Linked DNA regions of Caenorhabditis elegans. The protein of the gene in region 2 interacts with the protein of the main gene of each other region in a pairwise test. Each region holds a gene or a part of one and is shown on either strand. Other genes may lie near its edges.

Region 1 (4,753 bases), 590 kb from region 2:
TCCTCGCGGAGTCTCTACGACAAAACTTGTCATTTTTTATCAGATTTTGGTGCTGCTGGTGGTGGGAGAGAAATAGTGTTGAGGAATTTGGGTTTGTGTTCGTAGGAAAAAGATCACAAGGGCGGCGGCGGGTTGTGTCTCCTTCATCTCACGACAAGACGGGACCCCGAATTTGACAAAAAAAACCGCGGCGGATACCAGGCTCGGCCAGGCGGTCGAGTGATAAGTATGTTCATGTTATGTTTACAAAGTGGTATTTCCCTAAAACATGTTACTTTGAAATCAAAAGATAATATCTACATAATATCAATTTCCGATTTTTCTGAACAAACCTTGAAACTTTATGATTAGAAACTTATAGAGACTTATAGACAACAGAGATTTTATCGGTTGACAACTTTTATTCAAAGTAAAAGCCGACCAAGATATTAAACTTATGTTCCAGCTTCAAAGTGCGTTGCTAGAAACTATGTTAACGCAGGCACCAAAACAATAGCCGCGCCTGCCTGAAACCGCGAGCCTCCTGCTTTGCTTGGGACCCGAAAAGTGTAGGTTGCCTTGAAAGAACCAACTATTGCACGTGGTGCAAACACCAGGAATTTCATGTCATGCCAGAGAATAGTTCAGACAGGTTCCAGACCCTGAAACCGCGCCTGTCTCTTCATGGAAGCTTTACTAGAAACTGAGCGACTCCACAGTCACATCGAAATGTGTTCAATCTCAAATGATCATTGTTTTTAGGATGCTCGTAGACAAAGCGAACGCGCTCACTTTTTTGCTGTTTTTCTGATACAGTGCCGGTTGGTCACGATAAAGTGCAAATCAGTAGTCAAACATCAAACTTATCATAGGGAAAGGAATGGAGGGTGGGGGTCAGATTTATTAAGATATGAGAAATATATCTACAGATTTTTTCTCTAACATTGTAAAGGTTTTTTTTTGCAAAAGATTTTAGTAAAATATAGAATAGAAAGTGTTGAGGTAAATTTATCGACAATACATGTTTTTTGTAGTTTTCCAATTTCGGACACTTCACTATAAGAACAATGTGATAGATATTGTTTGAGTCTTCTCCCACTTATGCTATAAAATTTGCGCGCGCTCTTTGTTCTTGACCTGACCGAATTCGGCTCTCGCCCCTCTCTCTTATTTTCTTATCATATGTTTGGCATGCAAATCAGTGTGCTTCACTGTCTCCAGCAGAGCCAGCTTCAAGCGCATTTCTATTTGTGAGAACCTAGGAAGAGGGAGAGAGAGAGATAGAAACAAGAAGAATCTCTCTCATACATACTGTCTGTCTTTTCGAGATTGTTTTGCGAAGCTTGTACAAAGGTCGTGGCAAACTGACCAACGCACTCTCCGTCACTTGTCGTCCACTTGAAAAAGTACACACTCAAATACTGGCTCGCAAAGGAGGGAGATCCCACCACACTAAATGACCCCTACCGGGCGAGCAAGGATTTGGTAAATTCTCTTGAATAGACTATGATTATGATGAAATCCGAAGGGACACTTTTGTGAAACATTGCGAAACTATTTATTCCAGAATCTTCCAGATGTGCTCCACAAAGTTCAACTTTTGCAGGAGCTCGTCACTTTGAGTCATGAGTGACTGAAATGCCATACTTCAAACAAAATCCACCTGGTTTTTCAATGTTTTGTCATACTGAAAATGAGTATTACAATCTGAAAATGTCAAATGCTGATTTCCTCAACCGTTTTATACAATTTATTATGCGAATGAGCAGAGATTAAGATATTTATAAATGTTTGTGATTTGATCTCAATGATTTGATCATCTAGGTTTTTGATTTTTTTAAATATCATTTATAAAAGTTTCCACGGCAGTGTGCGACTTATTTTTGCGAGTAAGCCTAAGACTAAGACTAAGCCCAAGCTTAAGCTAAGCCTAATCCTAAACATATTTTTAAACCGCTGAACGTCCAGATTTGGAGACTCGTCGTTCAACTTTTGTTTAAAATCTACTTCCCGGTCACATGTTGAACAGACTAATAAACAACCCATTTGAAACATTTTACAACTTCCTGTAACTTTGGACCCAATTATCTATATTTCACTTTGCCACTTTTTGCACTCTGATCCTCAACGTTTTTTTTTTCATTTGTTCGCGATCTTCTTATCAGAAACTTGATTATATGTTTGAGTTCTCCATAACAAATATTATTATATTAATAGACATTTGCCGGCCACTTTTATTTGCGTTTGATCTAAAAGTATCTCCACCAGTTTTTTCTAGCGGGAGTCTAGTCAAGGCACATAACACATGGCTTCTCTTCTTTTCTGTCTTTACCGTCTGTCCATACCCAAAAGCCGGAGAGTGATAAGCGACACGAACACAGTCATCTCTGAAGAGGTCACGAAAAGCTGCTGCAGTACCGCCGCGCTCCTGTGCTTATCAATTGCGCGGTTTCCCTCGCTTTTTGTCTTTGTTTCTCAGTTTCCTCTCTGATTTGTCTTTATCATTCGAGTTTGACAACTAGCGGAAAGTTTGCAAAGCGTCCCTAATGCTCTGAGTGGGCTTCTCCTGGAAAAAGGTTCGAAAGTTCTAAAAATGGAAGGTTCTTTTGCATGGGCGTGCAATGTGCTTTTATTACTGCATCAATTTCGGAAAAAAATTTGAAAATGTCAAAATTATTTTAAACTTATCAATTCTAAAATCAATTTCCAAATTTACAAATGTTTAGAAGGTGCTAAAACCCACAGTACAGAAGAAAACATCCTGATAATTCAATCAGACCAGCTGAAAAACGTGCACAGACGGAACGAATTCACAAACGGCTGGATCTAAATAGAAGTCTCATTTTCCAAATATTAATTTCTGCTAATTATTATTATTAATTTTTCGTGTTACACGGTATTGCCACGTAACTACGTGAAAATGCCCATTCGAGTATAAATGAGCGTTTCTCACTGTTTTAAATTTATTCCCGATTTTACTTTGCCATTTCGTTACAGCGGACAATTTCTGTTCAAGTGAGTTCTAATTTAGAGAATCGATGATTCATTCTCTTTTCAGTTCGAAGCAATGGGATACGTTGAAAGTTTTTATTTGGAGCCTGAAGCTACTCAAATGTTTGGGATGACTGAGAGTAACGATCTTCCACCGGTAGGCTAGGTAATTCAATGGATTGCCAAAAAGTCCTAATTTTTAGCTTGAAAATCTCCAAGAGCTCGCATCTGTGATTGATGTTAACATCAAAGAGCCACTTGTTTCGGATTACTGTGGTTTGGAGTCTGACGACATTCCACCAATCTACCGTGCTCAGCTTCGTGCAGCTCAGAAGGAGAAGATCATTGCAGCCGAACAAGCAGACAAATCTTTCTATGCTTACGAAAAGTCTGATGCTAATTTGGAGGGAGATAAGAAAGAAGTGGAAGCCATCGCACCGGTGGATTCAATGAACTTTGAGTACTACGTCCCGGGTTTCTCTCCGCCGCCACAGAATTTTAACGATGACGTTCAAAAAATGAGCAACTTCCAGCTTCCTAAAATGACATCGATTGAAGCTACTGAGAACGTTTTCAAAATTAATGGAGCACACGAAAAGTCTCAATACGTGTTGATGGAAAATGAGGACCCGAATAAAGTGAATAGCCCAAAAAAGACCGGACTGGAAAGCTGTATGTTTTTATAACTATGCAGAATACAAAAAGTTATCAATTACAGTGATTTCATACACTGCATCGGATGTTACTTCTACAATTGCCTCTGAATCCTCCTGCCTTACCGCTACGGTAAATTTTTTCAGTTCAAAAAATAAAGTTTTAAACTCGTTTTTTTCAGCTTGGTCCAGCTTTTGGCTGCCTTCCGATCACAAGCACGTATGATCGCCACTCCGAGAGCAAGTACAAAGGATTGAGTGCTTTCCGTCCAGTCACCAAATCAATTGAATCGCAATACGCAATGCCGGAGCTCAATTAGGTGTTTCCCAATGTGAAATGAATCTCAAAATCTGTCGATATGAAATGAAGAATTTTTGTATTTCTTTTCAGCCACTTTATCCGAGACCCACTCTCAAAAAGTTGAGAAGAAAGCGGATGTCAGAAGAACATTAGTAGTGTTTTCAAAAATCGTACTGTTTTTCATTAAAAATAGGTACTTTTTCAAGAAATGTTCAATTTTTCAAGATAAAATCGGATCTTCAAAGTTCTTTGGACATTTCTTAATGGTAACAATGGAAAATTGACTCCGAATATCTCTCCTTTTTGTTCACAGATAATTGGCAACTTGTCAATCAGGAATCTCGCAGCAATGGCATTGTAAACGGCCCGCCACCGACAACTTTAGGCACATCGTGCCCGGCCATCAATTGTGTTTTGGGTATATTGTGCTGATTGAGGCGTTCTACGCACATAGTAGTAGTAGTAGTGGTGCAAAAGCACCACGGTGGAACCGTGGAGGTCCTTGGATCATTGAGATCCGCCTGGATCGAAAATTCTGGTGGGGAGGCCCAGTGCCTCTGCCACCTTTTTCGGATCCGTCCACAGTTTAGACGGAGTGAGCGGGGGTTGGATAGAACATCTCAGCATGTGTTCCACATTCCCTGTGACATCGCCACACTTCTTGCAGGCTGGCACCGTGTCGTTGTTGACTCTCGCAAAATAGCTTGGGACCATGGTTGAGTGACCGCATCTGATTCTGGCTAGCTCCACTCTTGTTCCTAGCGGCAAGGATCGGATCTTCTACGCACATCGCGAAAAACCGTGGCTACACAGAATGAACCCAAAAATT
Region 2 (4,351 bases):
TAGCAAAATTTCGCCCAAAAATTGCCGTGTTGAGACCGGGTACTGTATTTTTTGCTAAATTTCGCGTCTGCTTAAAATTTCTTTTGAAAAATTAATAAAACGATTGAAAAAATTGCAAATCGGCGAAACAGGGAGAATTCACAGTAGACCTTAAAGGTGCATAGTCACTTTGAAAATTGTTCGTTCGTGGCGAGGAAATATCATGCTTCGTAATAACTAACTATTTTTTAAAGTTTAGTATTATATAATGTAAAACTTTTTTGAAAACTCAGATTTCATTTGGAAATGTAAATATTTATTCAACTTCTAATAGATCTATTGAACACCTGGAGCAAATTCATTAACTTTCTTCTGGATCTCTTCATTTGCCGACTTGGTCTTGAACCACAATGCCATTGCCTTGTGCACAGTACAAAATTGATCCGCATTCTCCACGATTCCACATCTTTCAGCTCTCAAACACGACAATGTCTCCTTCGTATTTACTTATTTTCCTTTCTGAACTTGGATCATTGCAGTGAAGAGCGTCAGCATTGTTCCGGCTCGACCGGTACCATTCATGCTCATAAGCAGCATATTCTGAAATTAAATGATTGACTGAATAGATCAACTAAAAATATTACCTCATTAACCTTCATCACTTTCTCAATAGTTGCCACTAAACCTCCAACATTATCCAATCCTTTCTTCTGCTTCCAATTTTGCAAATGATATACTGTAGTGAACAATGAATTTGAGCATCCATCCGGCAGAATTTCCAAGCTATATTCAGTAACTCCAACGGCTGATTCTACCTTCTTATTTATGAACATTTTGCCATGATTTGAATAAGTTCCTACCAGAAGTGGGAATATTTGTTGAAGAGTGACTTCAAGTGGCATTACAGCAACAATAACAGATATTATATTCTCCTGAAATACCATCCTCCAAAAATCCTCAACATTTTGAGTATTTGATAGATCCGGCACTTGAGTCAATATAACAGTCCTATTGAAATCCGGAACGACGATTTTTGCAGCACAAATAAAATTGTCTGGTCCATTGGTCAATTTGATAAGCTTGTGATCTTCAACTGGACAGTCGGGAGCTCGAACTTTCTGCATGTTGTTCTTGAAACAAGGACACGATTCAATATTCGGCTTCGATGTTGGCGCGTCTTTGAATGCTCCGTTGATATTTGAATTGTCTGAAAAAAATTATATGTTTACCCGGAAATTAAAAAAAAAATTGTGCACTGACAAGAAAAACAAAAATAAACTAATAGATTCTACAACAACCAAGAAATATCTCGAAAAACCGTACTGAAGAATCCATTGGCGACCATCTTCTTGGCTGTTCCATCGCACGACCATTGCTCCTTTGATCCATTCTTCTTTTCATCCTTCTTACTCAAAACATCACTTCCTTGTTCTCGACATCCTTTTCCTGTCTTCTTTCCTTTATCTTTTCTTGCTTCACTACTATTTCCTGACTTCTTTATAGCTGATGTTGGTTTGCTTGGCTGCTTCCGTTCACTTCGTTCATACGCAAATTTTCCGAAGGCTTCTTCTTCTTATTTAGATTCGATCTCATCGACTTGATCATCTGAAAACAAAAAGTATGTGACTAGGTTTAAAACTACAAGTACTTGGGCGCTGCCAAAATTTCATGCTCAGCTCTAAGTTTTGTAAGTATGTCAGTTAAAATTGTCAAATATCCCACTGACGGTTTTCTGATAAGTTGTATATTTTTGGGTAAAACGAACGGTTCCGAAACGTCCAAAAAAGTGTTTTTTTCCAAACTTTCTTTCCACATGCCTACGTGCATGCCTACTTGCCTACATGCCTATGTGCCTTCTTATGCCTACATTTTGACGCCGGTATTGCCAACTTCTCACAACGTTTAAAGATTTTTTGAACCTGAATAGAAATAACCTTACCTTGAAATTTAATAATTGTGAAATAAATGTGATTCGAAAAGAATCACTCACTTTTTTTTGGATACTTTTTTTAGATTGTAAATCGAAAAATTAGATTAGATTTTAAAAAAACTTAAAAGTTTTCACGATATATTCAATAATTTTTTTAAAAATATTCCCTTAAAAATTAAAATTTTTAAATACATAAAAAAGGTTGAAACGTGGTGTACTACAGATTTCCTCAATATTTTAAATATTATTTTGTTACTTTTTAACGTGGATGCCCGAAGAAAAATTCATTACGAGCTTGTCTCTACTCGAAGAACACTCCTCGATTGCAAATTGTAATAACCGTAAGTATTTCCACAGATTTTCATATTTAAAAGAGTAACTTTCAGCTAAAAATGACTCATTTGAACTTCGAGACTCGCATGCCTCTTGGAACAGCCGTCATCGATCAATTCCTGGGACTTCGCCCGCATCCCACAAAGATCCAGGCGACCTATGTGTGGATCGATGGAACTGGGGAGAATCTGCGCTCAAAGACACGAACATTCGATAAACTTCCGAAGAGAATCGAGGATTATCCAATCTGGAATTATGATGGAAGCTCGACGGGACAGGCAAAGGGACGTGACTCGGATCGTTACTTGCGTCCAGTCGCCGCTTACCCGGATCCATTTTTGGGCGGTGGGAATAAGTTGGTGATGTGTGACACGTTGGATCATCAAATGCAGCCAACAGGTAAGAGAATAGGAAAATAAGGCATTTAGATGCCTGCCTGCGCGCCTTCAAGTTGCCTACTTTATTGTGCTTACGTGCAATGCGTGCTAGTCTTTCCACGTTTCCGAAGCGAATGAGATGAGTCTCACAGCGAGAAGATGGTCTGCTTCTCCATAAAAGCGCGAATTCACAATTATATTCTAGTGATGAAACATCAAAAAACATCGATTTCAGCAACCAGCCATCGTCAAGCCTGCGCCGAGATCATGCATGAGATCCGTGACACCCGCCCGTGGTTCGGAATGGAGCAGGAATATCTGATCGTCGACAGAGATGAGCACCCACTCGGATGGCCGAAACACGGATTCCCGGATCCACAGGGAAAGTACTACTGTAGCGTAGGAGCTGATCGTGCGTTCGGGAGAGAAGTCGTCGAGACACATTACCGGGCTTGTCTTCACGCCGGACTCAACATTTTTGGAACAAATGCCGAAGTGACTCCAGGACAATGGGAATTCCAAATTGGAACCTGCGAAGGAATCGATATGGGAGATCAGTTGTGGATGTCGAGATACATTCTGCACAGGTACATAAATCAACCCCGATAGTTGTAAAATAAAAATGATTTCAGAGTTGCTGAACAATTCGGTGTCTGCGTATCCCTTGATCCCAAACCAAAGGTCACCATGGGAGACTGGAACGGAGCCGGATGCCACACCAACTTCTCGACTGCCGAAATGCGTGCTCCAGGTGGAATTGCTGCGATTGAAGCCGCCATGACAGGACTCAAGCGGACACATTTGGAGGCGATGAAGGTGTACGATCCACATGGTGGAGAAGACAATCTTCGTCGTTTGACAGGACGTCATGAGACAAGTTCGGCTGACAAATTCTCATGGGGAGTCGCCAATCGTGGATGCTCAATCCGTATTCCGAGACAGGTGGCTGCGGAGAGAAAAGGATATCTGGAGGATCGTCGTCCGTCATCAAACTGCGATCCTTATCAAGTGACTGCGATGATTGCACAGAGCATTCTCTTCTAGAATCATGTCGGTTAAGATATCCAGAACAAAGAAATACACCTATTTGAATTGAACGGAATAAAATATTCATGAGAATGTTTGTTGTTTTTTTTTTGTTGAAGCTTTCAACTTGAAAGTGTTGAGATTGAGAAAGTTCCAGAGAAAACGGTAAATCCCTTCATATTGGCTAGGTCTGCACATTTGTTTCCCATCGATGCACCATAAAGGTGTTGTGTTAAAGAAGGAGTATCGTCAATGGGGAACTTGTTTTAAAATATAGTATTTGTAAAGTGTGTTTTATTAAAAAAGCAATGCATATGTAATACAAATTCGATTACTCCTCGTGGCCTAGAATTGTCTAGGTAAATTTTTAAAGCTTTTTCAACGATTTTCCGGACTTAAAATGCTGACTGTTAACGGATTTTCCCGTTTTTATTTTGCAATAATTGGACGTTTGAATACGAGTACTACATTTTAAAACAATTTCCCCATTGACTATACTCCTTCTTTAAGGCAGTGACCGATGTATTGAATATGAGAAACAGCTCACAAGAACTGGTTCAAATACAGAATAAGTGGGACGGAGACATAGAAAGAATATTACAATTGGAGGCAAAGAGGAATGCACTTAGATTTCAAGGCAATCATTTTGATATTTTAAGTGATATGAGTCACGAGAAAGGAATGGTACATCTGCAATTCGGTGCCA

Evidence for each region.
Region 1: the proteins of gln-2 (region 2) and K04H4.5 interact in a two-hybrid assay, tested with the Caenorhabditis elegans proteins (one large-scale study listed by BioGRID).

What each region holds. Positions count from the first base shown.
Region 1 is NC_003281.10:9,357,325-9,362,077, forward strand, and holds K04H4.5 (uncharacterized protein), read left to right. Parts: upstream 1-2,035; 5' UTR 2,036-2,994; intron 2,995-3,037; 5' UTR 3,038-3,046; coding exon 3,047-3,127; intron 3,128-3,173; coding exon 3,174-3,642; intron 3,643-3,688; coding exon 3,689-3,756; intron 3,757-3,805; coding exon 3,806-3,943; 3' UTR 3,944-4,009; downstream 4,010-4,753.
Region 2 is NC_003281.10:9,942,628-9,946,978, reverse strand, and holds gln-2 (putative glutamine synthetase), read left to right. Parts: upstream 1-2,155; 5' UTR 2,156-2,250; intron 2,251-2,295; 5' UTR 2,296-2,301; coding exon 2,302-2,641; intron 2,642-2,854; coding exon 2,855-3,206; intron 3,207-3,251; coding exon 3,252-3,663; 3' UTR 3,664-3,736; downstream 3,737-4,351.